Linked DNA regions of Mytilus edulis. The protein of the gene in region 2 interacts with the protein of the main gene of each other region in a pairwise test. Links are inferred from orthologs where the notes say so. Each region holds a gene or a part of one and is shown on either strand. Other genes may lie near its edges.

Region 1 (17,162 bases), on a different chromosome or scaffold from region 2:
CTACATTTTTCAGGTCCTAAATGAGTAATTTTAAGATGATTTATTATTGTGAATTCAATTGTTTACATAAACCTTGTTTGTTTCATAGTGATCATGTTGAAGTAATTGCTGCTTTCGTTTGAGTTTATTAAATGTTTAGAGAAGTCTTTCAGTGCTAAGTTTTGAATTATACATGTTAAAAATAATAATTATGTCTGTTGTGATGGTAATGTTAATTTTGATGGGAAAATGCAACAAATTCAGGGCATGAATTCCAAGATTGATGGTGTGAAATTATGCAGCGGAGGGCAAATGTCATGCTACAGATATTTAAATGTATAATTTAGCATCAAATGACCTATTAATGCGTACAAATATTCGAATACAATATTATCTTGCATGTCCTTTATGTCAGGTAGATTTGGATTTCAACTTATCAGAAAGTCAAGTACGAGTTTTTTTGTTTGTTTAAATAGCATCATGTTCAGTATCTTTTCATGAAGCATATATAAAAACCCTTTACCAATACAAATGTATAACATAAAATTTTAGGGATTTTATTTTTTTATTTTCCTTTATGTATATAAACCTAATGCTGGTATTTATTTTAAAAAATGAGACCATTACTACTTATATTTTCCTTTATTCAAAGTTGTGAATTGTCAATTTTTCTATATTTTGTCTCAGCTATCTTTCATACCTAGTACTCACAATGCAATGTTAAATGGTTTGCAGGTGTGCTTTTTTCAATTTGTTGTTTTGTATTCTCAAGTTTATGCTAAAATTGTAAAATAATTGATTGTATCATTGACTTATTTTTAATTATAAATTCTTTGACAATATACATGACATTATCACTATGTTTTATATCAATACACATCATTTAAAATACCTTTGAAAGGTCCTTATCATAATCTTATTAGTGGTCAACATTAGAAGATCATGATTTCTGTAATTGTTCTCACTGTAAGCTGCAAAAGTTTCATTTCGTTTGGCAGATGTTCCATTGAGCAATTACAATTTCAGTGGTTATTTTAAAAAGTGTTTATAGATAAGTTTTTATAAATAATGTAAGTGCTATTCTTTGATGAAACAGGCAATACGACTTCCACAAAATTAAAGAATCATGAAACTTTTGTTCACATTAATGAAGAAAACAGTACATCAAAGAGTTTGCTTTTTTCTTAACTCTTTTTGTACTAAAACAACTTATAACATCATTTCATACTGAAATATTTGCCAATGGGCATTATGAAAACAACAATTAGTCAATAATTTATATACATAGTTAACTTCATAACGTTCATTTAAGTTAATTCAGTCATTTAACAAATTCCTGAGTTTATTTATACATCCATCTGTGTGGTAACATGTTGTATGCTTTCAAAATTGTTTATAGTCACTGGGGCCTCGGATACAAATTCAGTACTTTGGTGGAAACCCAATTTTTACCCACAAATATCTTCAGCTAGTTTAGGTCAACAAAAATCCATGTCATCAAGTGGTTGAAATTTGATGTGAAAATTATGTGCAATATATATGTATATAAAGGTTTTATTGAATTTTTAGATCATCACAAATATTTTATAAAACTTCTATGAATGAAATAAAATGGTAAAATATTTATGAATTATTTGTTATTTTCTTATCTTATTGTTGCCTTATTTGTATCCTGAATTTAAACAAAAATCTGTTAACAGTTATCAAAGGTACAAGGATTATAATTAAGTACGCCAGACATGTGTTTCGTCTACATAAGACTCATCAGTGACTCTCATATCGAAATATTTATGAAGCCAAACAAGTACAAAGTTAAAGAGCATTGAGGATCCAAAATTGCAAAAAAGTTGTGCCAAATACGGCTAAGGTAATTTATGCCTGGGATAAGAAAATCCTTAGTTTTTCGAAAATTTCAATGTTTTGTAAACAGGAAATTTATAAAAAAAAAATGACCACATTATTGATATTCATGTCAACACCGAAGTGTTGACTACTCAGGGCTGGTGATACCCTCGGGGACGAAATGTCCACCAGCAGTGGCATCGACCCAGTGGTGTAAATAGTTATCAAAGGTATCAGGATTATAATTAAGTATGCCAGACGAGCGTTTCGTCTACATAAGACTCATCAATGCCCTCATCAGTGACGCTCATATCAAAATATTTATAAAGCCAAACAAGTACAAAGTTGAAGAGCAATTAGGATCCAAAATTCCAAAATTTTTTGCCAAATACGGCTAAGGTAATCTATCCCTGGGATAAGAAAATCCTTAGTTAAGTCATAGTTAGAATTTAGAATGGAAATGGGGAATGTGTCAAAGAGACAAGAACCTGACCAAAGAGCAGAAAACAGGGGAAGGCCACTTATGGGTCTTTAACACAGCAAGAAATCCTGCACCAGGAGGAAGTCTTCAGCTGTTCCCTGAACAAAATCTGTATTAGTTTAATGAAAATGGACGTCACACCAAACTGAAAAACATATAAATTAACTCCTTACTGTAGTTCGATTAAATAAAACACATAAGACATACCAAAGACGAGAGGCTCCTGACTTGGGATAGGTGCAAAAATGTGACAGGTTAAGCATGTTCTTTTAGTAGTTTTAAATCCACAAGTTTAGCAGAGTTAAATGATTTACGATTCCAGTTTTATGTGGGCTTTTCACATTAATATAATACAATTTAACGAAAGAAATATTGTTTCAACCTGGAAACATTTAAGATATATGCAGTCGCTCCTGAAATATTTCTACATAGAAATGAAAATTAAAATTTGAAATTGGGAAGCTGAAATCATGTTTTTGTCTTAAAGTTGTGTACTCAACTGACCCTCATTGTCAATTTCGAGAAGTAATTCAAGACTGAATCTGTTGTATAATTTGTTTTAGTACTGTGTGGGATAGATCAGTTCAACATAAGCAACAAACTTTAGATTTATTTAGTGTTTGAAAAAAAAGTTTTATCACATTGAAACTGAACTCCGAAGAAAATTCAAAACGGAAATCCCGCACATGGAGGTGGGTTTCAGCTGTCCCCAAAATAAAAATGTGCACTAGTTCAGTGAAAATGGACGTCATACTACACTCCAAAACATATAACTAATCTAAAATTAAAAAAACAAACAAGACTTACAAAAACCGGAGCCTCCTGACTTGGGGCAAGCGCAAAAAATGCGTCGGGGTTTAACATGTTTTGTGAGATCTCAACCCTCCCCTTATACCTCTATAGAATAAAGAAACACACAGCAATACGCACAGTTAAACTTAGTTTAAAAGAAGTCCAAGTCTAACAAGATATCGTTTTCTGCATTTGGCTTTCTTTTTCATGAAACAAAGTAAGAACAATTATTTTAAGTTAAAACGGAAAATATTTTTGTTCAGGATAGAAAAGAATTGTTTTATACCATTGCAAGAGAAAAGTGACTTAGATAGTATGTTGCCTAACAGATCTTTGAATTTTTAAGTATCCATATTTGATCCACATTGTCCCTAGATTAAGTAGTGCCACAATTACTCTGAAGCAGCCTTTGATTGCTAATAAAATAAATGTAAATAGTTTAGAAAGAGCTCGGGGTGTTTTTTTAGCATTTGTAAACTCAGCAATATAAAGTTTCTTTTGTTGTAAGGACACTGATGTAATTTAGGTATCCAATTAACTGGAGATAGAGCTGGTTCTGTTTTTTGTTTAACTTTGTAAACAAACATATAACAGACCTTTGATTATTTAAGATTTACTCTTTGGTGAGTAGCCAGGGGTATTTTGAGTGGTAAACGGACAGAAAGTCACAGGACAAAAAGTCACAGGACATAAAGTCACAAATTTGGTAGGACAAAAAGTCACAAATAATTTGTTGACAATTGTATCAGAAAAAATGAATTGTGACTTTTTGTCCGTGACTTTTTGTCTGTGACTTTTTGTCCTGTGGCTTTCTGTCCTACATTCTTTTGAGTTTCCGGTTGAATTATAAATATTCAATTCATTTACCAATTTAGCATTTATGTCCTTGTAATGTGACTTACACAGAAACACGATGTTGTTAGTAGCTAGCGGGACAACACAATATTTGTCATGGAAGTATGACAGGTTATTAGCAACATTTAAGTCTTTCAAGTTCAATGTACCTTATGTAGTTAGTATTCATATTCCAATTTATATCGGGAGATTTGGCATGCCACAAAACCAGGATCAATCCATCATTTTTTTCTTCTTAAGATGTCCTGTACCAAGTCAGGAAAATGGCCATTGTTATATCATAGTTTGTTTTGTGTGTTTTACATTTTAATGTTGTATTTGAATTTCTGTTGTGTCGTAGTTCTACTCTTATATTTAATGCGTTTCACTCAGTTAGTTTGTAACTCGGATTTGTTTTTTTCTAATCGATTTATGAATTTCAAACAGCGGTATACTACTGTTGCCTTTCTTTAACACGATTAGAAAAGTATACGATCTCTTGTTTGCCTTTAGCCAATTTCCTGGCATAATCATCGACTGAAATTTAGAAGATTTTTTAGCCTTTGTATAAGACTTTCCACTCAGAAGTTTAAATGACAATGTTGAGGTCACCAGTAATAAAATGGCTAGTTGGATTTTATATATGAAGGCAACATTAATTAGTATACCGCTGTTCAATAGTCATGAATCGATAATGCGAAAATGATCATGAATTCGGGTTACAAACTAAAACCGAAGGAAACAAATCAACTATACGCGGGGGAGTAAAGACCCGGCAATTGCCTCACAAAAATTTCGACACTGGCTTTTTTTAATACGTATATATATATATATAAATATAACAGTCATTTATTGTTCTGTCATCATTCCTTTTATTAATAAATTATTCTCCCTGGATATAACTCAGCATCTCAACGGGTGATGGTTTTCGAATACATTAACCTAGTAACGATAATCATCATGGAGCTCTGGTTAAAAACAGGCTCTTGCAGAAAAAGGAAAACGATACCGAAGGGAAAGAAGGAATATTTCTAGTAAATTATGTTTTTTTGTGAACAGTCTGAGTATTGAATATAACTTCATAAGAACTAATCCAAAAACGATAAGCATACTGACAAATCAAGTACTGGACATCGCAAGGGGGCAGGCAGTCCTGTCTGCGTATTAATTTATCCGTTTCACCAACTTTAATTTTTCTCTTTACAGATAAATAAAATATAAATAATATGAAATATGCATGGATCAGATTTTATCCATGTTTCTTTAACCTTAAATATTGAAAGAACATCCCATATTCCAATTTGACATTATTGATGAACGGTTGGATCTTTAAAACAACGGTTTATTGCTGGGTCTTCCAAGTGCTCCATGAAACCTCTTTCTAAATTATAAAGTTTTTACATCAATTTCATCAGCTATCAAAGCTGGGCTTTAGAGTTATTGTGAAACTGCCTATTCTAGAGTTTGCGTGAACTTTTAAGAAGGAAAGAAAAGAAGTTAGCACTGTCCTTTAACTGTCCGCTATATAATGATGTTCCCTTACTACAGAATCGAAATTTGGTGACTATGTTGATAGAAATCAAAGGCACCAGGCTTATAAATTGATACGCAAGACGCGCGTTTCGTCTACATAAGTGTCCGGCCCATAATAGTGGAATCAAACCGACAAGAAATGAGCACATATGGTTCACATAAGAATACAGAATGTATATTAAATAAAATACCACCAAAGGAAATGATGTAAATAAAAATATCAAGCATCTTGGAATTTCAGTTTTATTGAACGTTTCATTTCAACAAGGTGGTATTTTTAAATGTATTTGTCCCTTTCTAAAAACAGATGTATATATGTTTCCTACCTCCATGACAAACATGTTGGTGTGCCCGCAGAAAAAGCTTGAATTTGTTTTTTTTGCATTATTTAAACGGCTTGAAACTCTTCAACTTTGTACTTGTTTGGCTTTATACATATTTTGATATGAGCGTCACTGATGAGTCTTTATATAGATGAAACGCGCGTCTGGCGTACTAAATTATAATCCTGGTACCTTTGATAACTATTGATAAGGGAATTGTGTATTGATAATTCACTTTCTTTTTAACAACTTAATTCCTCATCCCCACTTTTTTTTATCTCTATATCCCACTTCCCGAAAGCGTGTCATTCTCTCTGTTTAGTTCTGATTTGCAAGCATTGACAAAAGCTAGAAACCCAAATTCGTAAGGTTTATATATTAATCAAAGGTAGTTATAGAGTAACTGTGATTCTGTCCAGTTTGTACTGCGCATTTTAAAACTTTTAAAAGAGGGTTTATATACTACACTTGAATGGAAAAGCAATACAAAGTTGCTTGTAACAGCACTTCTGTTATTAGTTATCCAGTAGAGCTAAAGAAAGACTAATTTTAACAGATATTCCAAAAGAATATAAACGTCACCTTGATGTTAATGATTTCCTCGTTACTACGTAAGGTGAAAAGTGAAAAGTGTGAAAAAAATCTCAACAAGCGATACTTGTAAAATGAGCACCCCATTTAACCTCCTGAATCAAAGACTTATGAGTTGGTATATAAATACCAGAAGTACGTCTTTAGAATAGTTATCAAATGTATATCAGGATTATAATTTAATGCGCCAGACGCGCGTTTCGTCTTCATAAGACTCATCAGTGACGCTCATATCAAAATAGTAATAAAGCCAAACATGCAAGAACAAAGCTGAAGAGCAGTGAGGACCTCAAACTCCAAAAAGTTGTGCCAAATACGGCTAAGGTAATCTAAGCCTGGGTTTAAGAAAATCCGTAGTTTTTCGAAAAATTCAAAGTTTTTATAAACCGGAAACTTATAAAAATGACCGTATAATTGGTATTCATGTCAACACCGAAGTCACGATGACTACTTGGCTGGTGATACCATAGAAGACTCACAAGAAGCGCTCGAATCAAGACAGTTGAAAGGCAAAATCAATTAGACAATTGAAGGGCATTGTAAAGCAAAAGTTCAATACAAAATCTGCCTATCAATCAGAAAGCTTAACATGACGTCCATTTCCATAGATTTGTGGTTAAACAAAACTTTATTATTTAGTAAAGATGGCGTTTGTTTTTGTTGCACTTCAGCGTCCCTGTTGTTCCCTGTTGTTCCATTTGTTTTCCTCTTATTATGATGATGTGTTTCCCTCGGTTTTAGTTTGCAACCAACATTTGTTTTCTTTCAATCGATTTATGACTTTAAACACCGGTATGCTACTGGTGCCTTTATTTGGTACAGGCATTTTCTTATACATGTATAGAAATGTATTTAATATTTGAATGAATAAAAATGGTGTTACCGTAACCTTATTAAGACATGTGTTTACTAACTTTACATTAATTCAATCTTTCAAATAGAAATTAGGGATAATTAAAATGAAAAGATGCAAACATTGGGGTTGAAAGGTAATTTTTGAAAACAAATACCTCAGGGGGTGGAGTCTAAGGAGTCACACTTTACTATGCATGGATTAGTTGATCAGAGGAAACATATTCTAAGACACAGCTGCACTTTTGTATTCAATTGAGTCATGCATATTGTGTCCTACATCAAATCAATTTTGTTTCTGTGGTTTTCCGTTTGGGAATGACAGTAACATAATCTGTTTCAACTTCAGGAAACCACAGACAAATTTAGAGATAACACACTTCAGTATAATATGATTACAAATATGAAGCTAAAAAGAATACAATTGGCAAATGCTTTTGAAAATAGATGGGCGAAAGATATCAGAGTGACAGTCAAATTCATAAGTTGAAAATAAACTGACAACGCCATGACTAAAAAATAAAATTACAATCAGACAAATAATAGTACAAATGACACAACACAAAAATAACTAAAGACTAATTTAAGCAACACGAATAGACTTATAGAATGGCGACTACGTGACTTGTGATCATAGTTAATCAAAGTAAAACGGAATAATTAAACACATAAAAAAGGTCATTAAATGTAACTATTATTTTTTTTCTAGATTCAAGTCAATATTAAATTAGTATAATTAACATACAAGATCAACCAGACGGTAGGCAAAGAATCAAGGACACTAGGCTTTCTGAGAAGGAACCTAGGACGGTGTAAACCAGAAGTCAAAGCTAACGCCTACATCACCATGGTCAGACTTACCCTGGAATACGCCTCCACTGTATGGGACCCTTACAAACATACCCTTGAAAAAGACCTAGAACAAGTACAGAGAAGGGCAGCTAGGTTCGTGTACAATGAATACCAAGATGTATCCCCAGGTTGTGTCAGCTCCTTAAAGGAGAGACTAAAATGGGAGCCTCTTAAAGATCGCCGCTGCAAAGACCGACTCACCATGGCATACAAGATCCGCAATAGATTGGTGGATATTGACCCCTCTAATTATTACAAACCCGGAGATTCAAGGACCAGAGGAGGCCACCACATACACCAACAGCGCACTCTAAAAGACCAATACAGGTACTCCTTCTTCCCAAAAACAACCAGGGAATGGAACACTATACCGGAAAAAGCCACAACAGCAGCTACACTAGAAGAGTTCAAGGCCAGCCTTACCATCCTGCCAGAGGTCTTGACAGGAGCTTCCCACACCTAGATCTCCTTTGACCCCAGATGTACATAGTTTTATTTGTAAATAATTTTCCTGTAAATAGTTTTTATTAAGTGAGGAGGGAAGGCCTCATGATTTCACGAGCAAGAGTCATTTATACACTCAAGAAGAGTCCGACTCTGTACTGAAAGAAGAAGAACAACTTGCACAAAAACAACACCAAATGGTTTGGGTCTAAACTAAATATGGACAATTTACGTTCGGAACTGTTAATTATCGAGCAGTTTGTTGAAAGTTATTTTGGTGGGAAAAGGTTGATGGGTATTGGCTTCTTAGATGTTAGATACAAATTAACATCAAGTATCGATGATAAAACAGATATCTTTTAGTATATATATCTAATCACAGTTTCAAGGTAGTGGGGCAAATGAGGTGTTCATCTCCCATTGATTGAAAAATATATAGTGTATCATTTAATCGTTCAAAATCATTTTAATCATTTTACTACTGGAAGTATTGAACGACCTTGGCTGGATTTTTAGCCCTCGCATGGTCGGCTTGTGCCGGAGTTGTTTAGTAGTATTTAAATATTTTCTGCGGTTGGACTGGAACATATGGCACCTACATTCAACAACATAAACATGTATTACAGTTTACTCCGTTAGGTGCCATTTTGAACTCCTTAAAACAAATAGTATCCAAACATTGATCATATGCCACATACAAAAACATAATCGGACTGCTATCAAACAAATAACAATTACTTTGTTTTACATTACGAATAATTACATCGGAGAAAACAAATGGTTAAGAAATGATTTACGAACTTATAACAGCTTTGTATGGATAAGAGAAAGAACGTATTGAATAAGGTGAAAATAGAGTAAATGTTAAAAAATGTTTAAATAAAATCTAAACAAAAAAAAATAAAAATAAAAAGGAGGCTTCCATTCAACAAATACATACCCTGTGTGGACAAGAACAACAACAAAATCGGTGCTGAGCAATATGCAACAACATAGTTGTTCAGTATATGTTTTTATGTCTGTTGGTTTCCTCTAGTGCATATGTGAATATGTGCCATCGGAATGTATTCAATGATTTATATTGTGATTCTATTGTCATTGCTGTATTAGAGACATATTTAGACTGGGATCCCGCTATATATAATGCACATTTATCTAGACAGGCGAACCAGTCTAAGACATATTATACAAAGAACTTTGCAAATATGAAATAAAAGGCGAGGAAAAAATGCCGAAAAAAAGCACACGATTAAAACAAGAAAAACAATTAATGAATATTTTAAATATAAATACAATAAACTTAGCAATCTACAACTCTACAACTAAGTTAAATTTTATCTTTTTGAATTTGCCGCTAAAAAAACTTATTTTTCCGGAAATTTTCCCGTTTGATGACGTGTGACATTTTGGTTTTTATTCATTTGAATCATTTGAGCGTTTGTAATTAAAAAAATTTCGTCGTCTCCTATCATGAACTAATTAGACCTTGAAGGAAAAAAATTAATGTTTGTCGCCTAACCAAAATGACAGCTACTTTATCGTTTCGGTGGTTAGAACTTTTAGAAAAGGAATTTGACAAAGCGTTTGTAGATCTTGATCTATTGCTTGGTGATATTGACCCTGACCAATGTGAATTAACATTTGAGGGCCGGCAAAAGATGACAGCTCTCAGTGCTGCATTTGCCCAGCTCTGTCACAAAGCTCAAACTGTGTTCCAATCAAATGCAAAACTTGAAGTAAGACTTACTATAGAAACCATTTTTCCATCCATGTTTGAAAACTTTGAAACCAAGAGTTGTCAATAACTTCTGAAAATAAAAATACTACATTTTATTTCTCAATAGACAATAATTTGCATCATCATGTTACATACAGTACCCTTCAAGAGTACCAACTCTCCCACACCCTACACCGAGGAAAATGTCGGAGCCACTCCGAAAAACTCCGATATTCCTCCCAAAATGTTGGGAGGAATTTGGGAGTAATCTCTCCCAAAATCAGGTAAATGTTTATTGTGATAACGAGCTCACTCTCTACACCGAGGAATTAATTGCCCTTATCCTACTTTGATCTATACCGGCACAAGACTGAATTGGTAATTGGATTACCTGACAGGTAAAGGTTGAAGTAATAAAGAATTATATTTCCGGTCTACTGTACCAGTTTAAGTGTCAAACAGGTGTATAATTTTAAATGTCTTTAATACTAATTAAATTTCATTTGTGGTAATTAAAACTAAAGTCAAAATATTTTCGTATTTTTTGTTAGCCCATCTAAAAATATCTTAACCTTAATGTACTTGCTTTAAAAAAAAAAACGATTATAAAATATAGCGGAATATGTGAAAAACAAAATATTCTACTTCAAAGTTAAAGTCTTTATTTAAAAATTATAAGTCTAAAAGTTTTATATATGCAAGTAAAAAGGAAAATTTATTCACCATTCATTAGACAAAATAATTGCCCCGTAATAATTGTGTAAATCTACGGCATTTTCTTTTTACGATTATCTAATTGCTGGAATGAATAAAAGATTTAAAAGCAAAATGTTGTTGTTAATTCTTTCAATTGTATTCAAGTTTTATAAAAAATGAAAACTACTTAATTTTGACCTCGATGTCTTCACCAGTAAATTAATATTTTATTGACGAAATGAGCATACTTGTGTAAAAATAACCGGAAACTTTTGCTAAAATAATTTGAACAGTTAAATAAAATTACGTGTTTGAAAGTTTTGTATTTTCAAGTAAAAAGGAAAATATTATTCACCATTCGTTATGCTTAACAATTACGACATTTTCCTTTTACGATTTGTTGGCAGTACAGCAGAATAATAATACATTTCCGTTACAAAAGATTTTAAAAACAATTATTTGCCGTGCGAAGACAATTCCGCGATACACATCTCAGTTATCAACAGTTTGGGTTGAACTTGAACTTGACTTACTTAACAATGTTAAATGCTAAAAATAGTTAACATCAATGTTATCCACAGCACGAGTTTTTTAAAGGGCGGGAAAAAATATCGCGTACTAGTAAACTCAGGTGACCTTTCTGGCCGACCGTGGGAAAGTCCATTCAAGGTTTCTAAAGTTGCAGAACGACATTTTTGTGCAATCGTATTGAGGCTCCAGAAGGTCCTTTTACAATTGATTTATCGGGAAAATATAATTCTTATCCGAATAAACGTGAACACATTTTTAACTATTTGAATTTTAATGTTTTATCTTTCAAAAAAGAAAGTACATTTATAGTTATATGTCCATGGTCAATAATATAGATTTACAGTTGGTGATGTATTAATTGAAATTATGATGGAAATTGTCCGGGGTGATTGATTGTATTCAAATGACAATAATCATGATAATACGATAAAGAAATGCCAATTGTAGGCGGTTGGGAAATTTTGAAAATAAAATGATGACTGATTTAACTGGAATAGATAATTATGATGGGCAATTATGAGGTTTGATAAATTTTATTAATAATTAAAGGATTAGTGACCTATCGGATAGCGATAATCGGATTACTTATCATCACAACTTTTAACATCTTTTGTAAACGTAAAATGATTGAGCGTCATAAACTTGTCAAACACCGGTAGAATTATAGTACATTTATTATATAATTAATGTGAAAATATTTTTCACTTTCCAAATTCAAATGACGAAATTGATATAAATACTTTCGTCAATTTGAAAACTGTTCTGTAAAATGCGAAAATGACGAGCACTATCAATATCACTTGAAATTATTTCCTTTGTCAACAGAGTTGTCATTTAACAGTTTCTGTTCGTAATTTGAATTATTCAAGTCTGTATAAATGTACCGAGGTTGTGAAACATCATATTTTACATTGCTCAATAAATTAAGTTTACTTGATGATCCGATGAATCGGGTTACCGAAAAAACAACATGATTTTATTAGCCAGTTGATTTTTTAATAATGAACAATTAATGCGCTGATATTGCTTATTGAATAAGTTATAAAAGAAACTAATTGTGGCAAAATCGTCCTTGCTGAAAGAACACAGTTACACAATGTATGACCTGACCGGACTGTAATAGAAACACAAAATAACAATTTTCTTCATACTTTTTCGTATGTACGTTCTATTTTAAAGATAACGGCATAAGACACAAATATAAAGGATAATAAATATCTTATTCTAAATGATATTGTCACATCTTTATCTGTCAAAGAAAGGAAAACATTTGTTCAATTTATAATACCGTGATTTTAAAGCACACCTGTGCAACCAAGATCGATTAAATGTTCAAAGGTAAATTATCTGGGTAATCCAATTATGTTGTCACGCGTCGTTAATTTGAAGTACATCCGATGGGCAATAAACCAATTAACAGCCACGCGGTGTTGGGAGAGAATCTTTGGAGGATTTTAGGAGTGAAATCCGCGGTACTCGGTGTGATTCCGAGAAACACGGAAATCGGAGAAAAAAGTTATCGAATCGATATTTTTGAAGAGTACTGTACATGTAGGGTTCATAAGCCAGCTCTGAAACTAGTTGAATCTTTCATGTCATACCAGTTGCCTTGTGACCAAAATCTATGCATCGTCACTTCCATCTCATATTGAGGAAACGGGCGATAAAGTGATGCTATACACATGCTACTCAAAATATTTGGGAAATTAAAACCTAAATAACTACAGTTGTATGGGGGTTGGGATTACATTCTTACTGAACATAAAATATTCCTAAACTACCCTGCAGATCGACGATCCAGAAAATTGTTGAAACTGTGATAGTGCAGGGGTTCATTTGCTGTCTGGTAAATAAACTCATCATAGATATTAGGATTGAAATTTTGTATTTAAGCCCAAGTGCTTTTTCTCTTCAAAAGACTCATCCCGAAGTGCTTTTTCTCTTCAAAAGACTCATCAGAAATTACACCATTAAAGTGTACATAATTGATGATCTTTTGAATCAAGAAATAACGTATTATAGTCCTGTAATATGAGGCAGGCAATACCTGTGAATGAGGACGAAGTCTGTATGAATTATTTTTTTTGTAACTTTTAAAAATATTTGTTAAAAAAAGAAACGGAAATACTGTAACGTTTTTGATTTTGGTTTTGTTGTTAGGGATTTTACTTGTGACATTATTTAAGTTATGGCGTCATGTTCAATGTAAACAAAGAAACTCAAAGCAATGCATCAGGTAACCTTAATTCATATCAAAGACAAAGAAGTATTTAAAATGAAATATTGGTATTGTGTTCCTTGAGTTTCTATATTTTACTATGTCTCACGACAACGAGACCGGAAGAAGGAAGTAGATTTCTGTGTTCTGCCCAAATGCGGAAATGAAAAAAAGCATCAAAAAAAAAGTTAACAGTTTTGAGTTCATTAGTACATTGTACAATGAAAAATTTCAGGAAATCTTCTCGATTTAAAAAAAAACTCATGATAAAATTTATTGATTTTTCTACTGTAATTATATTTTCTGGAACTGTGGGTCCATTCGTCCCTTTATCTGTGTGTCCCCCTTCAGGTTAAAGTCTTTGGTCAAGGTTGTTTTTGATGCAGTTAACAAGTTAAAGACCAATCAACTTGAAACTTAGTACACTTGTTCCCTATGATATGATCTTTCTAATTTGAATGCCAAATTAGAGTTTTGATTCCAATGTCACTGTCCACTGAAAACAGAAAATGATAGTGCAATTGGGGTATCCATGTACTATGGACACATTCTTCATGTTCTTGTATATCAAATATTGTTTAACTTTCAATACTGAACCACGAACAAAATATCTGATAAAAATGTTGAATGCAAATGAAATGGACCTACAAAGTAAAACTGCCAAGCATTGCGCATATGCCTCATCACTTCCAACTATAGATGTCTTTTATAAGAATCAGTTTTCGTTTAGGGAGGTGTAACCCTTGTACATTTTTTTTACATGTATTAAACAAGGAGGCCTAATCTGATCGCAATACATAAATTATTTTGAAATGTACAGGAATTATCATCTACTCATCTCTTCAGTATACATGGTATAATTGCAGGATGCTATTCTATTTATAGAAGTACAATGCATACAATCAATAATTTCAGATATTCTTCAGGTTTTACCTTCATGACTTAATTTGACATGACTAAGATTAATTTTATTTTAATTTCCAGGCACAGCTAGTAGATATGAGATCAGACATGATAGAAATGAAATCCTCTAAAGCTCTGGTTGACAAAGAACTCCATAATGTCTTATTACAACTCCATTCACTACAGTTACAGAAACAGGCCGATAAAGGCATAGAGGCTGATTCTACAAGCATAATGAAAAAACTGGTGAGAAAAACCTTTTGGAGAACATATATGATGTTCCTTGGCATTTTCTGTTTTTTGCTGTGCATTTACTGATAATGTGTCATGAATGGATACCCCATATTATCCTCTCTTTTCTATAATTTGTAACTAGCTGAACTAAATGTAAGATATCAAAACTGTCAAATATTTGTTTTGCTTATGTTTATGTGGCCTGTAATGAAGTTGTGACCCATACAATTTGTAAATAGGTAAGTGTGACCTATATATGGAAGGAATGCAACATTTGCAATGTTTTAATACATATGTATATCTGAAAGGAGTAGATTAGAATGAGCCTAATAATGATATCAAAATTAAAATACCAGTTTTTATTTGGCAAAACTTAATCTGTTGTAAATTTAGCAATAATACAAACATTACAAAACATTCTGAATTAAAAGTTTTCAATGTTTTAAATTACAGGAAGATGAATTGCAGGCACAAAAAGCAGAATTTTTAAATATGGCTAAATTAGAGGCAGAGGTAAAAGAATTAAGGAAAGAAAATACTGAACTACGTCAATATGTTTTAGCTCTGCAGGGAGAAGTTTATGGTGCAAGACTTGCCGCTAAGTATTTAGACAAAGAATTAGCTGGAAGGTAAATACACATTGAAACAGAAGTATAAGTTTTAAGATGAGTTTTTAGGCACCTATACAAGAAAGAAGCTTTCAGGGGATTGTCAGTGCCCATTTCATGTGCCAAGTTATATTGATGGAGGAAACCTGATAACCTTGATAGAGTCATAACCTCTGCCAGATAACTGGCAATCCAGGTCAATTAAGTTAAGTGTCACAAGCTCAGTATATACATGCTACATTGCTAGCTGATTGCTGTTGATGAACTACTTAACCCATTTAGCCACTGTGGCCTCTTACACAATCATTGAGAGCAATGAAAGTTTTTACCTTATGCTGGTAGACCCACTTTGCAGAGCTTCATAAAAAAATGTATTGATAATTTATTTTTGTCTTTGATAGGCTGTACAGTGAACTATAGTTGTTAATTTCTTTTTCATTTGGGCTCTTCTGAAGAGTTGTCTCATTGGCAATTGCAATACATCTTCTTTTTATATGAAATATTTGCTATTATATGTTAAATAAACCACAAACAATCATCTATGATGTCTTTTATGTTTTGTAGAATTCAGCAGATCCAGTTGTTAGGTCGAGACATGAGAGGAGCAGAGCATGACAAGCTTTGGAACCAGTTAGAAGCAGAAATCCATTTACACAGACACAAAACAGTAATACGAGCATGTCGTGGACGGAATAACTGGAAGAAAAAATTACCTGTTCCGGCCGGCCATGTAAGTTTTAAAATATTTATGAGATAAACCTGTGTTTTGGGAACTCTATAACAATGTTGTCAAACTTTCAATAGAATTCAGTGAATTAATCATACCGGTATGAAAAATCTCCACATACATTTAACTGAATTACATTGTGCTATAAAATTTCAACATTGTTCTTAATTTTGCAGGACTTTAAATCGTTAAGAAAACAGCATGGTTTGGGAGATGTGAGGAAGGTCCTTATACAGAAAGGTGCTGATGATGGACTAGGTTTGTCAATAACTGTAAGTAAATATTTTAGGAAAGAATACATTGCAATTTTTTTGTAATAATGAATTTTCATTTTCTATACTGGTATACTACAGTCATTTTCTGATATAATGAGGATTTTTGTGAAATATGATCAAATTCAAACGTATAATGGACACACCATTCTCACTTTTGCAAAAAGACTTATGGAATAACTTATCTAAGAAATCAAATATAGAAAAATGATCAAGAGTGACCAAACAACACGTAAACTGACAAGTGTAGCTGTTAGCACATGATTAAATTGTCAGTGTTCTTCTGTCACAAGTTGAATAATTTTATACATATTAGTTCTTTGACAAGTTGTTCCTCTTATTACATTGACAGTTGGCTTTTAATGGCACTAATAAGTAAATTACAACAAACTATATCTTTTTCTGCATATTCACATTTTGTTTTGATGCATCATCATCTACAATGTCTTGACATCACCCAATGTATAAAATCAGATGAAATTAGATGAAATTATCCAATTTATTTTCACGTGAAATAATAGGATTGGTTTTCACATGTGAAATTATCCAATTTATTTTCACATGTGTAATTACCAGTTTATATTTAAAGTTCTAGTTCTGTGAAATCACAGTATTTCATTGCAACCAATGTAATCATCATTTTTATACGACCGCAAAAATTTTAATTTTTTGGTCGTATATTGCTTTGACGTTGGCGTCGTCGTCGTCGTCCTGTGTCCTCTTGCGTCGTCGT
Region 2 (16,470 bases):
TCCAGAGCTGATATCAATAAATAATAATAAAAAAAAAAGTTTATTCATGGTAAAAACCAGGTGCTCCGCAGGGCGCAGCTTTATACGACCGCAGAGGTCGAACCCTGAACAGTTGGGGCAAGTATGGACAAAACATTCAAGCGTGATACAGCACTGAATTTGGATTGTGATCAAATTTTTGACATTACATGTTTTTTTTTTTACACAAAACAAATGTCAAGATTTTACAAATCAATTAAAGATTTCTTCTTCAAACTTTTTAAATCTAAAATTAAATAGTTGACACAGCATAGGTTTCTGACACAGAATGAATGTGGTCTAATGAACTTAAAATATTTTTTTTGCCTTTGAGCAATTCACTATGCTGTTGAATATTAATCCTCTCAAAAAAATGTTTGAAGAAATTTTCTTTTTATTTATGAAATCTGAAATGAGAAAAATTTAAACCCCCCTTTTTTTCACATCCCCGTTTCCCTTTTTCCAAAACTGATATCAATTCAAATTTCTAATGGAGTTTGCAACAATAACTACTCTTTTAAATACATCATAAAATATTAAAATGTAAAATAAAGTGCTTGTTATCACTGAATGGTAAAGATTGGTTGGTAGTAAAAGTGAATATACATTGTTTATTGTATAAAACAATAAAAAAAACTTCATCAGCAACATTTTAGAATGAAATTCAAAACAGTGTGGCTGTGGCCATTGATTGACACATTAAATTCATCCATTGACTGGGACAATTTAGGTGAACGTTTGTATGTAACGACCACTGCTCACTATGTACTTTTTAAAGACACTTAAACTATGGGGTCACCAAAGGTTCTCAACACCTTAACAAAGTAATTCGAAAAATAAATCAGAAATAACACGATGTTTTGATTTATATCAATTATATAAATCAAAACATAAAGGTTATTCCTGATTAATGTTTCGAATTATTTTATAATTAAAGGCGTTAAGAAACCTTTGGTGACCCCACAGTTTAAATGTCTATCGTAGTACGTCGTGAACAGTGGTCGTTACAGACAAACGTTGACGTAAATTGTCCCAGTCAATGGATGAATTTTAATGTGTCAATCAATGGCCACAGCCACACTGTTATGAATTTCATTCTATATTGGCAAATTTCCAATGAAGTTATTTACATAAAGTTATTGGCAAATAAAAATAGAAAATGACATCATAGTCATGTCTGGCAAATGTCCAACATACATTATCTAAAAACATTTTAGATAAGATAAGGAAAAAAAGCTTCATCAGCAACATTTTATATTGTTAAATTTCCAATGAAGTTATTTACATAAAGTTATTGGCAAATAAAAATAGAAAATGACATCATAGTCATGTCTGGCAAATTTCCAACATATATTATCAACTTCTATTCTATACAAAGAAAGGTAACTCCAATTGAAAATTAATTGCTATTGCACAATATTGTGCAATTAGATATTTCTTGCTATTGTGCAATACTGTGCAATTGAAAATTTCTTGCTATTGCATAATACTTGATATGGAATCCTGATTTGGACCAACTTGAAAACTGGGCCCATAATCAAAAATCAAAGTACATATTTAGATAAAGCATATCAAATAAGCCCAAGAATTTAATTTTTGTTAAAATCAAACTTAGTTTAATTTTGGACCCTTTGGACCTTAATGTAGACCAATTTGAAAACTGGACCAAAAATTAAGAATCTACATACACAGTTAGATTTGGCATATCAAAGAACCCATTTATTCAATTTTTGATGAACAAAGTTTAATTTTGGACCCCCATTTGGACCAACTTGAAAACTAGGCCAATAATTAAAAATCTAAGTACATTTCTAAATTCAGCATATCAAACAACCCCCAGGATTCAATTTTTGTTAAAATCAAACTAAGTTTAATTTTGGACCCTTTGGACCTTAATGTAGACCAATTTGAAAACGGGACCAAAAATTAAGAATCTGCATACACAGTTAGATTCGGCATACCAAAGAACCCCAATTATTAAATTTTTGATGAAATCAAACAAAGTTTAATTTGGACCCTTTGGGCCCTTTATTCCTAAACTCTTGGGACCAAAACTCCCAAAATCAATACCAACCTTCCTTTTATGGTCATAAACCTTGTGTTTAAATTTCATAGATTTCTATTTACTTAAACTAAAGTTATTGTGCGAAAACCAAGAATAATGCTTATTTGGGCCCTTTTTTGGCCCCTAATTCCTAAACTGTTGGAACCAAAACTCCCAAAATCAATCCCAACCTTTCTTTTGTGGTCATAAACCTTGTGTCAAAATTTCATAGATTTCTATTAACTTAAACTAAAGTTATAGTGCGAAAACCAAGAAAATGCTTATTTGGGCCCTTTTTGGCCCCTTATTCCTAAAATGTTGGGACCAAAACTCCCAAAATCAATCCCAACCTTCCTTTTGTGGTCATAAACCTTGTGTTAAAATTTCATAGATTTCTATTCACTTTTACTAAAGTTAGAGTGCGAAAACTAAAAGTATTCGGACGACGACGACGACGACGACGACGACGACGCCGACGACGCCAACGTGATAGCAATATACGACGAAAATTTTTTCAAATTTTGCGGTCGTATAAAAACCAAAAAAACTTTTAAGTTAATAGGGACCCGCGTTATTTCAGAAAATATCTTATTGATTAAGAGAACAAAAACTTCTACGTTGTGATCATTTAAGAGTGGCCTTCTATTTATTCAATGCTAACCATGTGGGCTTTTTTTTTTTATATATACCATAAATCGATTCGTTCATTCAGATATTTGTCAGTTTGCCTTGGCTCTTCAAGTCCAACACACAACTTCTCACGAAATTAGTATTTTTCTTACAAAAATTACATCCATGTGATGTATTCTTTTCATGGAGAATGAATGTTGCACCTTATTTTATTTGTTATCGTTTTTTTTTGTGTGTGTATCATTGACGTATAAGACAACCTGAATCTTCTTTATTCAAATTTAAAACATACGAGATGGCAATTATGACACAAAATAACTAAATTAAACTTACAGCAGAAGAAAGATAATGAACATCGCTTTTATAGTCTTCTAAATATCGAAGACGCGTGGTCTTTTTAAAAATGATGTAAATTTATAAAGGAAACAACAAACAAAATAGTTCGAATATTTATATTGGAAAAAGTAACGGTGTGTAAATCATAACAATTATTTTATTTCAATGAAAATCAAACTGTTGAATTTTTTCCGCTGCGAGCAAATTTTTAATTTTGGTCGCATTTTGAAAATCAATAAATCTTGTATTCTTGTTGGAAGCTGCACTGTGTAGTTTATACCCGTTTTTTTCAATGCCACACAAATCCAACACAGACAAAAAAAATGGTAGGTTCAAGAAATAATTGATGCAAACTATACTTTATTGTAGTTTTAACATGGGTAGGCATTATATTCGTGATTATTTTTGCCAGAGCGATATCGAAAAACTATTATAAAAAGTGTCCTAGTTCAGTGAAAATGTACGTCATACTTATTTCCTAAACAAATAAATAAACATTAATTAATTAACATACAACACTACCAAAGGCCAGAGACTCCTTACATGTATGATTTTGTAAAAAAATGCATCTTTTTAAAACAGTCGAAAACAAAATTGTCTGTCCAATGGAAAAGTCGAAGCCCAAAAAAGATGAACAGTGCATTATAGAAACATAGAAGCTGGTTGCAAAAGTTGACGACAAGATCTATTTTATAACTTGAGTATGGCCTAATACTATTAACCTGAAATAAATATATTTATAGCAATTCCCTTGATACGAAAGATCTACATGTTGCCTTGGGCTTTTTTTTTTCTTTTTGTTATGCTCTTTGGTTGGGTTTTTGTCTCAATGACAATTCAATTTTCATTCTTATCATAGATATAACTGCATGTTAAAATAAGAATATGAAGTGTGATAGGCAATCAGACACATTCTTTCCAGGGACCAACAGGCGTTATCAAGCTATAGGTCCCCGTATGGCCTTCGACCATTAGCAAAATACACACTTCATAGAATGAAAGCTCCAAGAGGTCTTGGGATGAAAAAAACAAACATAAAAGATAAGCGAGAAAAAAAATAGAGATACCGCATGGAAATTGGAAAATGGTCCGCAACATTAATTTAGTCAACTCACTTAGTTGAAATTAAAGACCTGGCGAATTTTAGCCTTTTGCAATGGATGTGATGTATGTTTAAAAAAAATCATGGTTTGTTTGGACATTTTTATAAATCAAGTCTTGTTTTTAAATTATTTGCAAGTAAGTTTTAAGTCATGAACAAATAATCACTCACAGAAAGACGTCAAATCCATCAACAAAAGAAAAAAATTAATAGACGACCGACAACGCACAGAATATCATGTATGTGTTCCGGACCATATGAGTATTTGGACCATACGCATATATCATGACCATAAGGGTATACTAATATGGTCCAACCATACACGTATGGTCCAAATACTCATAAGGTCCGGAACATATTTTATTTGCGATCACAAATGAAAGAACATGGCTTTGCGATATCTTATATGAAAATTGATTGTCGAAACATAACAAAAACACAAGTAAAGGACGTTTAATTAATCAATATAAATCAAAACACAAATACCTGATTAGTATTTCGAATTATTTTATATAGGCGTTGAGAACCTTTGGTGACCCCACGGTTTAAATGTTTATATTAATGACGTCGTGAGCAATGGGCGTTATAGACGAACGTTCACCTAATCTGTCCCAGTCAATGGGATATTAAAGTGCGCCAATCAATGTCCATAGCCACACTGTTATGAATTCGATACTATCTTATAAAGTGTATACCGAATTAAAATATTGTAAGAAATGAGAAAACAGGGACATCCGGCAAATCGGATTATGTGAGTTGGATTATGTTTATTATAATAAATGCCGAATATCAAGTTCTTTTTATCGGGTTCTATACATTTTTTTCAAATATATATAAAAGTTATATAGCAAAAATGATAAGGCAGACAAATATACAAATAAATCGACTTGACCGATATCCTAATAAAACTTATTGACCTTTAATTACGAGTTGTTTTTTTTCATTTCTTTGCGTTTTTACACGCCCTGTGTCCAATTTTGACAGGACGTATTATTGTATACACCCGTCTGTCCGTCCGTCCTTCCATCCGTCCGTTCCTCCATCTATCAGTCATTCGGTCCGTCCGTCTGTCCGTCTATCTATCCGTCTGTCCAGCATAAACATGTCGCACCGTAACTTCAGGACAGCTTATCTTATTTTCTTAAAATTTAACATAGTTATTTCTTATAATGGTCAAACGATCTGCAAACCTTTTAGTGAAAATCAAAAAATCTTTTTGAGTTACAGAAAATGTTAGTGAAACAGGAATGTGGGTTTTTTTTAACATGTCGCGCCATATCTCAAAAACGAAGTATTATAACGGCATTAAACTTTATACACTTCTTAGTTATATAAATATTTTAAACTTCTGTTTACTTTTTGATGATGTTTAAAATTTTGGTTTAGAGTGATTGAATTTTTTTACATTTATAATATAGGGCCCTGTTATAGCTTGCTTTCATGCAGTTTGTGTGTTTTTCTCATTGTTTAAGGCATACGCTGACCTAAACTTGATTAATTCAACATATTTTTTGTGTCTAAAAGAAAGTTGTCTCATTGTCAATGTTTATGAGATACGTGGTTACCGTCACTTCTTCTTAATAAGACCTAGATATAAATGACGGTCATGTTTTGCAAACCAACTTTTATTCACATTGAAAATACAAAACTGTCAGATATTGTTTTCGAAAGTTATCTTGAAGTTTCAATTGAATTTGAACTGTACAAAAAATGAATTTGAACTGTAAAAATAATGTGAAAAACATGCCTATGAAAATAAATGTGCCTACCAGAAACGGGGAGAAAGTTACAAATCTCACTGCTACATGTATGTTATGGATGCTTAAGTGTGAAAACTCGCTTAAGTGCGCAAGTAACACAGTATATATATATAGTACCAGAAAATCTGGCAGGATTGCATGCATGATTAATTTGTGCAGAACAGTATAGACTATAGTCGGTTTGGGACTGTTCGTCAATGATTGAATGCATAAATGTATTAATAATTGATAGTAAATATTGTAAACTAAGTGTATATAATATAGTATAGTAAATTAAAATTATGGCACAATCAAAACACATCCTTTTATTTTTCATCTTTACATACTACTATTATAAACAAAGAAAATATAATAATGTTACAAAATAATTAGATACCAGTGTTTGCTATTCAGTATTTATATTCCATTTAAAACTAGTTTGAAGTTAGTGAAATAAGGGATACGCTTTTCATTAGGAAAATGTGTATTATCATAATTAACTATGTCCAAAAGTGTCCGTTTAAAATAGATTTTAACACGCCAAGTTTACTTTACAATAAATATATATTTAAATTCTCGAAAGACAATGTTCAGATCCGTGCCAAAGTTTCTTTTCATAAATTGTTTGTTAAAAAAAAAACAAAAAAAAACCGGGTGATATATTATGTAGACGAAACCGGGTGATTGTGTAGTAACAACATTGACGAAAACGGTTTATTTTAATTTGACATGACCCTTTTCTTTCGTTCCATACACAGAAATACAATTATTGAGATGCTCATAATAACTAAATTTGCAATCTCCGTGTCAATATCTATCTTCCCGTACCTTTCTTTCCGTACAATGTGAACAATTTTACGAGAAATTAAACAATTTCGAGGCAAGGTTCACTCAATTCGTCATTTTGACATGCATTTTGACTTATTTCTCCCTTAATATAGTACGGTTGTAGAAAATATTGCATCTCACAATAGAAAATAGTTGTATATGTATATATATTCTTCGATATCATAAAAAAAATAAAAAAATAAGGAGAAACCTACCTTTCTTTTGTCTATTGGTGTTCCGTCATTGTGCCGGATGTTAGATACCATCGAGTCCGAGCAAATATTGCCGGTGTGGTTTAGACACAGTGTATTATTTTTTTTCATCAAATTAGTGATCATATTATTTTAATGTACCATTATCGAAAAGCCCCTCGTGGTAGTATCAAAGTAAAAAAAAGTGACTATCTATATATTGGATTCCCCAAAAGATTACCATTTATCACTGATATAAACTTTTGAAAAGAATTTTCAATTTTCAACATGCCGACACCTACAAATGGATAGATGGGCGCTTAATGTAGTTCAGTGGCAACTATTACATAAATATGAATGCTAGATGGGCGCTTAATGTAGTACAGCGGCAACTATTACATAAATATGAATGCTCGTGAAAATAATGTTTATGGTATACGTTTATATATGATATGAAAGGTTTCAACTTTTACAAAACCAGAGCTATAAGTCAGTGGATTTAAATTTGGCCTTTTTAATTTTATTTCACTTTATTTGCCTTTTAACTTAATTTGATTCGAGTGTCACTGATAAGTCTTTTGTAGACGAAACACGACGGTCTGGCTCAAAAAACGGCAAAATTTATATCCTGGTATCCATCTATGATGAGTTTTTGTAGATACCTTGTAACAGTATCTTGGCTCCAATCTACTAATATTTGATCTTAGTACTCTTCATTTCAGCGTAAATAAGATATATATATATATATATATATGTTAAAAACCTCCCACATTGTAGACTAGCACAACCTTAATTGGGACACCATGCATTCAGTATTCCTACCGTACCAAAAAAATATTAACTAAAATCATTGATACAAGTCAATATAATTATGATCGTCATACAACCGATAAAAATGAAAACATAACGTTAAAAGTTACGACCGAAGCGCTTTTCTTGATCGACCTTCTTATGGAACGCTCAAAGCTGAATATTTAGGGCCAACAAATAACAGATTAAAACGTTGAAGATGATCGTTCATAATGTACATGAAATGATATATTCTTTAGCCAACACGATTGCAGAAAGTAAGAAGTCGTAGAGCAAAACAGAAAAAAAATCAAATCAAAAGAGATTATACACCGTGTATTGAGCCTTTTTATTGCTTAGAGTTCAGTAGAAAATATATATATACATGCTCAACCTAACTATACTATTTGACCTACTGCGAGTTGTTCAGTTTTACTGTTACTCCTGTTTCTCCTAAAATATGGGTGCTAGAAAAAGCAGCAAGTAAAATGGCCAATATCAGAGCCGTACATATGGTTTTGAAATGAACTCTCTTCTTTTGAGAAATATCTATTTTGTCATCCAATTTTTCACCGCTTACAAATGTCTGTCTGTGGTTTTATTTCAAACATTAACGTTTAAGTATCAGTATGTTTTCAATTCATATTGTTTCGTTTCGTTCCGCTTTTTACAGGTACCCCTCTTTTTGCCCCTTTTCTATTTTTGATATTTTAATCAAAAATTTAAAAAATCAAACTTTCAAGAAATGAAATAATCAAAATTGCACGTAAGGTTTAGTATTTTAAAAGTTTGATCAAATTCCTAAACTCTCAAATTTAAAAACGATATTCAGAATTTTTATGTTTTAATAATTTGGTTAAAATTTAAAAATTTCAAAACTTTTACACAATTTGAAATTTTGATATTTTAAACTTTGATCAAAATTCCAAAAATCTAAAATTTCAAAACTTTTTAAAACTTTGAATTGATAAGTGTTACACGGACCTCATGCGTTTTGGGGAGATTAACGCATGAAAGGTTTTTTTCCTGAAAGATATCACCGCTGTGTAACTGTGAAGGATAAAGAAATGCACAAACGAGGCAACTTTCTAGTGATCAACACCTTATTTAGGATTTGGCGACAGTAACGAACATTTCAATTTGTTGATTCCGTTACAGAAAAAAATAAAAAAATAAAAAAAATTTGTGTTGGTCCACACGGATTAAAAATATGCAGATTTTTTAATATTAATAAATAGGGAATAAATTCCACAACGGCTTGCCATAGTCGACAGCCGATCGTGCACCCTCTTATTGAAAATGCGTGATATACCCAAGCGCCTGTGCATTTTAACTGGAATAGTTACTGTATATGTTTACCAAAGTTAGTAAACATTATCAAGGAATATTGTATATTTAAATATACAATTCCTTGACATTATATGTACACCGTTTACTAAATCTGAACGGATGTATCCTTGGGACACAATAGTAAATCGATTCATTGAGATTGTGTAAACATCCTAGATGTTATCTGAAAATGGCTTATAAAGTCGATAATCGAGGTTAAAATATTAACAATACGGTAATTAAATGAAAATATACAGAAAATGAGAAAAAACGATGTTTTAAACAATTAGTATTCAGTTCAGGTGCACTGGAATATTTGCGCTGGAATAAATAGAAATCCTACTTCCCCTACACGATACAATGGACTAGCTAAATGACTGAAGGTTGACCTGACCGCATTTATATGTAAACAAGTTCAGCATCATGGCCACGTTGTTGAGCAGGGATGTGCAAGATATAGAGGTAGGACTGCATTGACAATACACATTTCTATATTGCTATATAAAATTCTTTCGTTATTAAGCGTTCATTTGCACGCACTGACTTCATAATTCATGCATTAATCTCTTGGACAAAACTGACCCAGATAATGGACATATGATATAGATATCTGTGTTTGCATAATCATAAAATGATTTGGATAATGTTATCGAAACCGATTGAAACAGCATCCCATGAATACAGAACTTTGAACAAAAGTTTTCATGCTATATAATGGACTAGCCCTGTGAAGAATATATTATTTCTTAAATTAACCTCTCAATATCAATTTTTTGAAATCTGTCATATGAATTGATCCATAATGACGGATCAAAAACTTTTTACAAAAAAAAAGGGGGCACTGACTACTTTAATAGGGGTGGATTTCAGTTATGCTTCAGTGATTTTCTACTTAACATAACATTTTTTCCCACAAAGTAGGGGAAAAGGGGGGGGAGGGGGGAGCTGCCTTTGATCCTGTTTCAATGGCTATACTTTTGAATTTGCAAAGATTGATATGTTTTACTTTGACACAGCTACAGTTCACCTTTAATACAGCTTTCAACCACAGGCACTTGCATATATAATACAGATATTTTTTTTTTTTTTTTTTGTTGATTAAAATATTCAATTTTCTATACTTATAATACATAAACATGATAAATATCACTTCTGTGCATTTCTCACCTAGTTTCGAGTGATTTAAACGAGTCAGATAAAATACACAATTTTACTATCCATACTACGAAACAAAAAGGCAACTAACTAACAGCAACAAACGACAACCACTGAATTACTGTACAGCTAGGCTCCTGACTTGGGACAGGCAAATTCATACCATGCAAATAGAATGTTACGCTACGCTAGTGGATGTCCGGCTGACCAGTAGAAATTTGTCGCTAAAAATCACTGATTGCATTCCAATCTCCGTTTGTTTACAAAACAATTTACCATTCGTCTCAACTCGGTCGATTACGTACCCTCATCTAAGGATAGAAGGAGAGAAGCGGATTTTACCAAGGATTGCCGAATGAACAATTTACCTGTGAAATTAATTACACGGTACTGATCAAGTTAATTTGATCAAGTTAATTAAAATCTCGGGTGAGCATCCTTCACAACAATATAAAATGTGGAAATTTTTGGAAGGAGTTAAACCGCCGGACAAAAAAAATAAAATAAGTGAAAATCAAAAGGAAGATCGAAATAAAGTAATACCAAAAATCATGGGAAAAAGATCGTGAATGGTTGAATTATATAGTAGATTGGAATTTAATGAACTGTACAACATGTGAAAATTTGGAATATTTCTAGACATGATGCAGCGCTTCAGACGACCCAGTCAGGCACCCTATGGTCATCGTGAGGATTGAGATGACGCGGAAGACAATGTTGATATTTTATCTGTTCTCTATCTTGATTTTGATCAAGAAAATACTTGAGATTATCAAAGACTTTATCAAAATCAGAATCAAGACTATCCCTTTGTTCCTGTGTAACTTATGAAAGCATCAAAATAAAATTAAACATCTATCATTTATATTAGTGTTTGTCAAATGAATGTCATTTTTGCAGGACCAGTAGATTTGGAGCTGGACCAGTAGAGTTTTCAGTCCACTGGTCTGGCTGGCCAGTACACAAAAAAGCTTAAATTCATCTTCTGTACAAATGTATCTATATGCATCTGTAGCAACTAATCAAACCTAGTTAAACATGTTAAAAATGCTTTAAAGTTCATGCAATATAATTGCAACATACTTTAGTATGTTTCATTTGTCTGTTTGACTTGGCAGTTTGCATTGGCAGATTATTCTTGAAAATACAAAAGTGAGTTGAAGTAATTGTTGCATCCTGGACAGTGGTCAAAAATGCAATTGATATGGTTTTCTATGCTGATCAATCTGGTATTGCATGTTTGAGTATATGGCTTGGTTCAATGTCTCTAAAGCAACTCTTTCTACTCTTGCTATGACTCAAAATATTTTTGTATTTGTGCATTTCACGTTTTTCTCCATTTCTTTTGCTTTTACAAGTAAATTAAATATTTTTCTTCCAAGTTATGAACCTATAGCTATATTACACAAATTAACTCTTACATAACCATTGTTAAATGCTCAGTTTTTCTTGCATTTTTGTCTCTTTGTTTTTAATTCCCAATTGTTAAATTTAATGAAATCAACACTGCTTTTGAACATGTTGAAACCCCAGAACCTAAATAAAATTGTAAGGGACTGATATTTACCATGTTTTATACTGTAATTTTTATATACCAGGTATCTCAACATAGGATAAGGATAACAATTACAGAGGCAGATTTAGGGGGAGGGGGTGGCGGCTTCCCCCTTCTTTTCTGGGAGCCCCCCCCCCCCCCATTACTGGGAAAAATTTGGTTGATTATATAGGGAATCACTGGAGTTGGCCACTCTTAGGCAGTCAGTGGGCCCCAGCCCCCCACTAATGAAAATTTATGGTTCTGTCACTGAAATATACTAGAGTTGTCATGTCATAATAAAAGTAATTTCTGCACTGTTTTAAAATTTAAAGTAGAACAACATCGTTACTTTAACTTGTTTAGACATTAATTATATGCATGACATTTGTAAGACAGTAGACATGGTAGAACTAAATTTAGAACAATAAAGTTGGTCAAAATGTATATCATTGTATATGCATGCTAGTTTCTGAAAACTACACCTAAGCTACATTAGTATTGTTCAATTTCTAATGGAACGAACATGTTAGAAAATTGTCTTAAAATTATCAAATCTCCAATTTCAAGTCCATAGATTTTTCTTAAAACTATATGTTGTTGATACATCTATTTCCATTTTACTTTAAAATCTGTTCAACTGTTTTCAATTCTGCTGATTACATCCCACCAGTGCAACCATAACCTTTGACATTGATTGGAAGTCCCTGGTTATATCCTTAAAATGTGTTTTGTGTACATATTTATGTACTGAGGTCCATTACATATATTGTTGTTATTAGACATATTAAGTACAACATCATTAATTTAACATGTTAGACATTTATAACATGTAGGTATATATATATATACATGATATATATGACAAATTATTATTCCATTGGACTAAATTTAGGACAATTATGTTAGTTGGTCAAATATGTTTACTGAATTGCTGTAAAAATGGTATATCTACTAACGTAGCTATATATAACTACATAATTTTATTGAAGGCAAACATGTTCAAAATTGAATATGGTGATGGACAGTTACATGAATCATTGTAATTTTTTGTCCTTTTGAAATTAACTTTATATTAAAGAAATGAAGAATTTAACTTTTATCATTTTGTTAATGACATGAATGAAGAACATCTGTACGATATTATAACTTCAATGTCATGAATATGGTAATGTAAAAGTAAATAGCTAGTAAAAAATGGTGGACATCAAGTCATTAATCCATCATTTATCAGAGAAATGAGATTTATACTTTTTTTCCCTTTGAGGTACCATTATCATGATTATCATGATAATAAAAACATATTCTTTGTAACAAATTAAAAAGTTTGAAATACACAACTGTGTTCCTATTCTTAAATTTCTAGAATTCTATATACTGTACACACAATTAAATTTATAATTCCTCATTTACGCAGTGCGCATGGTGCGAGGGACATTTCAATAGGGCATATATCCTAGCCAGTAATTATAAAAAAAAATCCCACCTGCCTAAAATATTAATATAGTGATACAGTGATATAGTGATATAGTGATTAAAAATCTAATATTTTATGTTCCAGAACATATTAGCTCTGAATCCTAAAATTCATCAAAATGCCAATCTGGTACCTAGTGCTTCAACCAAGAAGAACAAGCAACACTGGAAAAGGAACCAGGAAAAAGGATGTAACGTAAGTCACAATAATATGATATATTAGTGTAAACTAACATTTAATTGTATACCAACAGTCATGACAGTCTTGATGGATGATGTTAACCTAGTACAAATGTTCATGTACTGTAAACCAACTAGTTTTCAAGAGTGATTTAATTAGGCAACTTTCACAAGTAGAAAAATATCGCAAATATGTAAAACTTGGGTTTTAGTTTAAACATATTTATTTAAGGGGATTGGGAAACAAGTTTTGCGACTTATATTAATCCCTTTCCACTTTTCGGGTGCAATTGCTGCCTTGTAGCGGCATTAGCCTGCTCTTTTTCGAAATCTACAAGGGTGTCTTTTACGTGCAAGAGATGTGGCTCTCTCTTAACACGGGTCAGACATTTATCGCCCCCTTGGGTTTTCCTTACCATTCTTACTTAACAACATCAGGTAAAGGAGTAGGTCTGGTAAGGGTCGATTTTGGCCTCAAATTTCAAGTTCATCTAACGAAAGATTTTAGACAGTTTTTAAACACTTAAGTGTCTATTTCAATTGATTCAATTAGTTTGTGTGAAAGATTTTAACTGATTTAGTCATTAAAAACGCACCGATTCAAGCTTAAATATGAAACATATATCAAATATGCAAAAAAACGTAACTTTTCAGCTGGTTTTTGTCAAAAATGAAAGTGGCCACAACTTTGTTCATCCTTAACTTTATATATATTATGTATTATCATCAAATACAACTTAAATTTCAATAATATGAATGAACATGAATGCAGTCCCTTTCATTTTTATAAACAGAAACCGTCTAAAATTTAACTAAAATGCTAAATTTTTTAAGATTTCAGTAATTTAGCATGACTTAATGATGCTTAAGTACCAGGTATATGTGCATAGTTTTGTCAAACAGCCCATGTTTATGTAGCAGAAGCATTCTACTCTCCAATAAATAGCTTAAAGATTACATTTTCACATTTTTGTAAAGCTGCTATATTTTGGGGCCGAAAAGGGGTCTTACTGAACCTTCTCCTTTGAGAATTGCAAAATCAAATGACCATTGAATGGGCTAAATGGGAAATAAAGCATCCTCAAAAATAATTATTTTACAGTATTTAAAAGTTTGTTAGCAGAACATCCTTTCTGAATGTTCCTCTTTGAGAGATTGCAGGCTTAGAATTTTAATTTTGTTTAATTACATCATGTAACATCAACAAATCATAATAATAGAAAATATACCTAATAATGATTCCAAAGTTACTTACATATACTATAAATAGTAGAGAATTTCGAAATGTTGAAGGAAACGAACTTTGCATATAATTATGCGTTTTTATGCCCCACCTACGATAGTAGAGGGGCATTATGTTTTCTGGTCTGTGCCTCCGTTCGTCCGTCCGTCTGTCTGTGCCTCCGTTCGTCCGTCCGTCTGTCTGTGCCTCCGTTCGTCCGTCCGTCTGTCTGTGCCTCCGTTCGTCCGTCCGGTTAAAGATTTTGGTCGAGGTAGTTTTTGATGAAGCTGAAGTCCAATCAACTTGAAACTTAATACACATGTTCCCCGTGATATGATCTTTCTAATTTTAATGCCAAATTATAGTTTTGACCCCAATTTCATGGTCCACTGAACATAGAAAATGATAGTGCAAAGTTCAGGTTAAAGTTTTTGGTCAAGGTAGTTTTTGATGAAGTTAAAGTTACATCAACATGATCAACTTGAAACTTAGTACACATGTTCCCTATGATATGATCTTTCTAATTTTAATTCCAAATTAAAGTTTTGACCCCAATTTCACGGTCCACTGAACATAGAAAATGATAGTGGGAGTGGGGAATCCGTGTACTATGGACACATTCTTGTTAGAATTAAAAACTATACTTTTATTGACGATAAGTAGATGTAGGAAAATTTGTGAGTTCAAAACATAAGACACATATGAGAATTGAAGCCATTTTTTAATTTGTTGAGGCAATCATTTATAAAAGAACAAAAAAAAAACCAATTGTTTTATAAATTAAAGCTTTATAAACATTATTAAAATATTGTATTTACTTTAATATACACTGATTGAAAGATGTATGTTTTGATGTTGCAGAGTTGTGAAACAAATTTGGAGAAGAACTTTGAAGATATAAAACATACAACATTGAGTGAAAGAGGTGCATTAAAAGAAGCATCTAGGTATGTTACAGTAATAACACAAAAGCAAATCTATATAACAGTACAAAATAAGATTATTAATAAATGTAGGATAAAAGTCAATGAGACAGGTTATCAATATTGTTATCTTCCAAATGCACCCATATCAACTTTGAAGCTTTGGGGTTGAACTGAGGAAGTTTTTGACTGATGCAAAAATTCAATTGCAGTTTGTGACCGTTCATACCTGAGCATACATAAGATAATCTTCTGTTTTAAGATCACCACAGTAAAGGATTATACATGTACTTAATATTTTTCAGTATTTACTGAATTGTCTTCATTTAAAAAGAATTTTGAAAGAAATCCAATTGGAAATACATTTCACAGAGCTCCAGATAAGGATTCACAAATTGGGGTTTTTACCCACCATTTTCTTATATAATTGGGTGATAAAGTTTTTTTATTGCATTATCAATTCCAGTTCACCCCTCATGTTAATATCAAATTGGGTTTTTCACCACCAAGCTCCTTAATGTATTGGGTTTTTTCATCAACACAATATTGAATATTTAGGCAATATCAACCCCAGATTTTTTTCCATCTTAAATGTGTTTCTTTCTTTGTTTAGCTGTTTTATTTGGTTTAGGGTTATTTGCTAGCTGTTTTATTTGGTTTATTCACTGAGGAGCAATAGTAGGTTCAAGTTGTGTCCCGTTTTAAACTTTCTGCCAGTTTTGTGTTTTCTCACAAAAATGGATATGTGTATTCACAGGCACACGTCATGTACCTTTATATAATAAATTCTGAGACCAGTGACAGTGCCTGTATATGTGTATTCATAAATTAACCGTAAAATGAAATAAAAATAGTATAAGAACTCTAATTATACATGAATGTTTAAGTTTTATTCAATTTACATAAATCTACTGGTTTAGTTGTCTTTTACTAGAACTTTAGGTTTCTGGTGCTTTATCATGTTTATCATGTCA

Evidence for each region.
Region 1: the proteins of dihydropyrimidine dehydrogenase [NADP(+)]-like (region 2) and Golgi-associated PDZ and coiled-coil motif-containing protein-like interact in a two-hybrid assay, tested with the Homo sapiens proteins (2 studies listed by BioGRID and IntAct). The link is inferred for Mytilus edulis from reciprocal best matches to the Homo sapiens genes DPYD and GOPC.

Annotation. Positions count from the first base shown.
Region 1 is NC_092353.1:75,386,163-75,403,324, reverse strand, and holds the start of Golgi-associated PDZ and coiled-coil motif-containing protein-like, read left to right. Parts: upstream 1-9,987; 5' UTR 9,988-10,046; coding exon 10,047-10,259; intron 10,260-14,669; coding exon 14,670-14,834; intron 14,835-15,275; coding exon 15,276-15,451; intron 15,452-15,994; coding exon 15,995-16,160; intron 16,161-16,333; coding exon 16,334-16,429; intron 16,430-17,162.
Region 2 is NC_092344.1:85,725,266-85,741,735, forward strand, and holds the start of dihydropyrimidine dehydrogenase [NADP(+)]-like, read left to right. Parts: upstream 1-9,335; 5' UTR 9,336-9,429; coding exon 9,430-9,468; intron 9,469-13,256; coding exon 13,257-13,367; intron 13,368-15,434; coding exon 15,435-15,520; intron 15,521-16,470.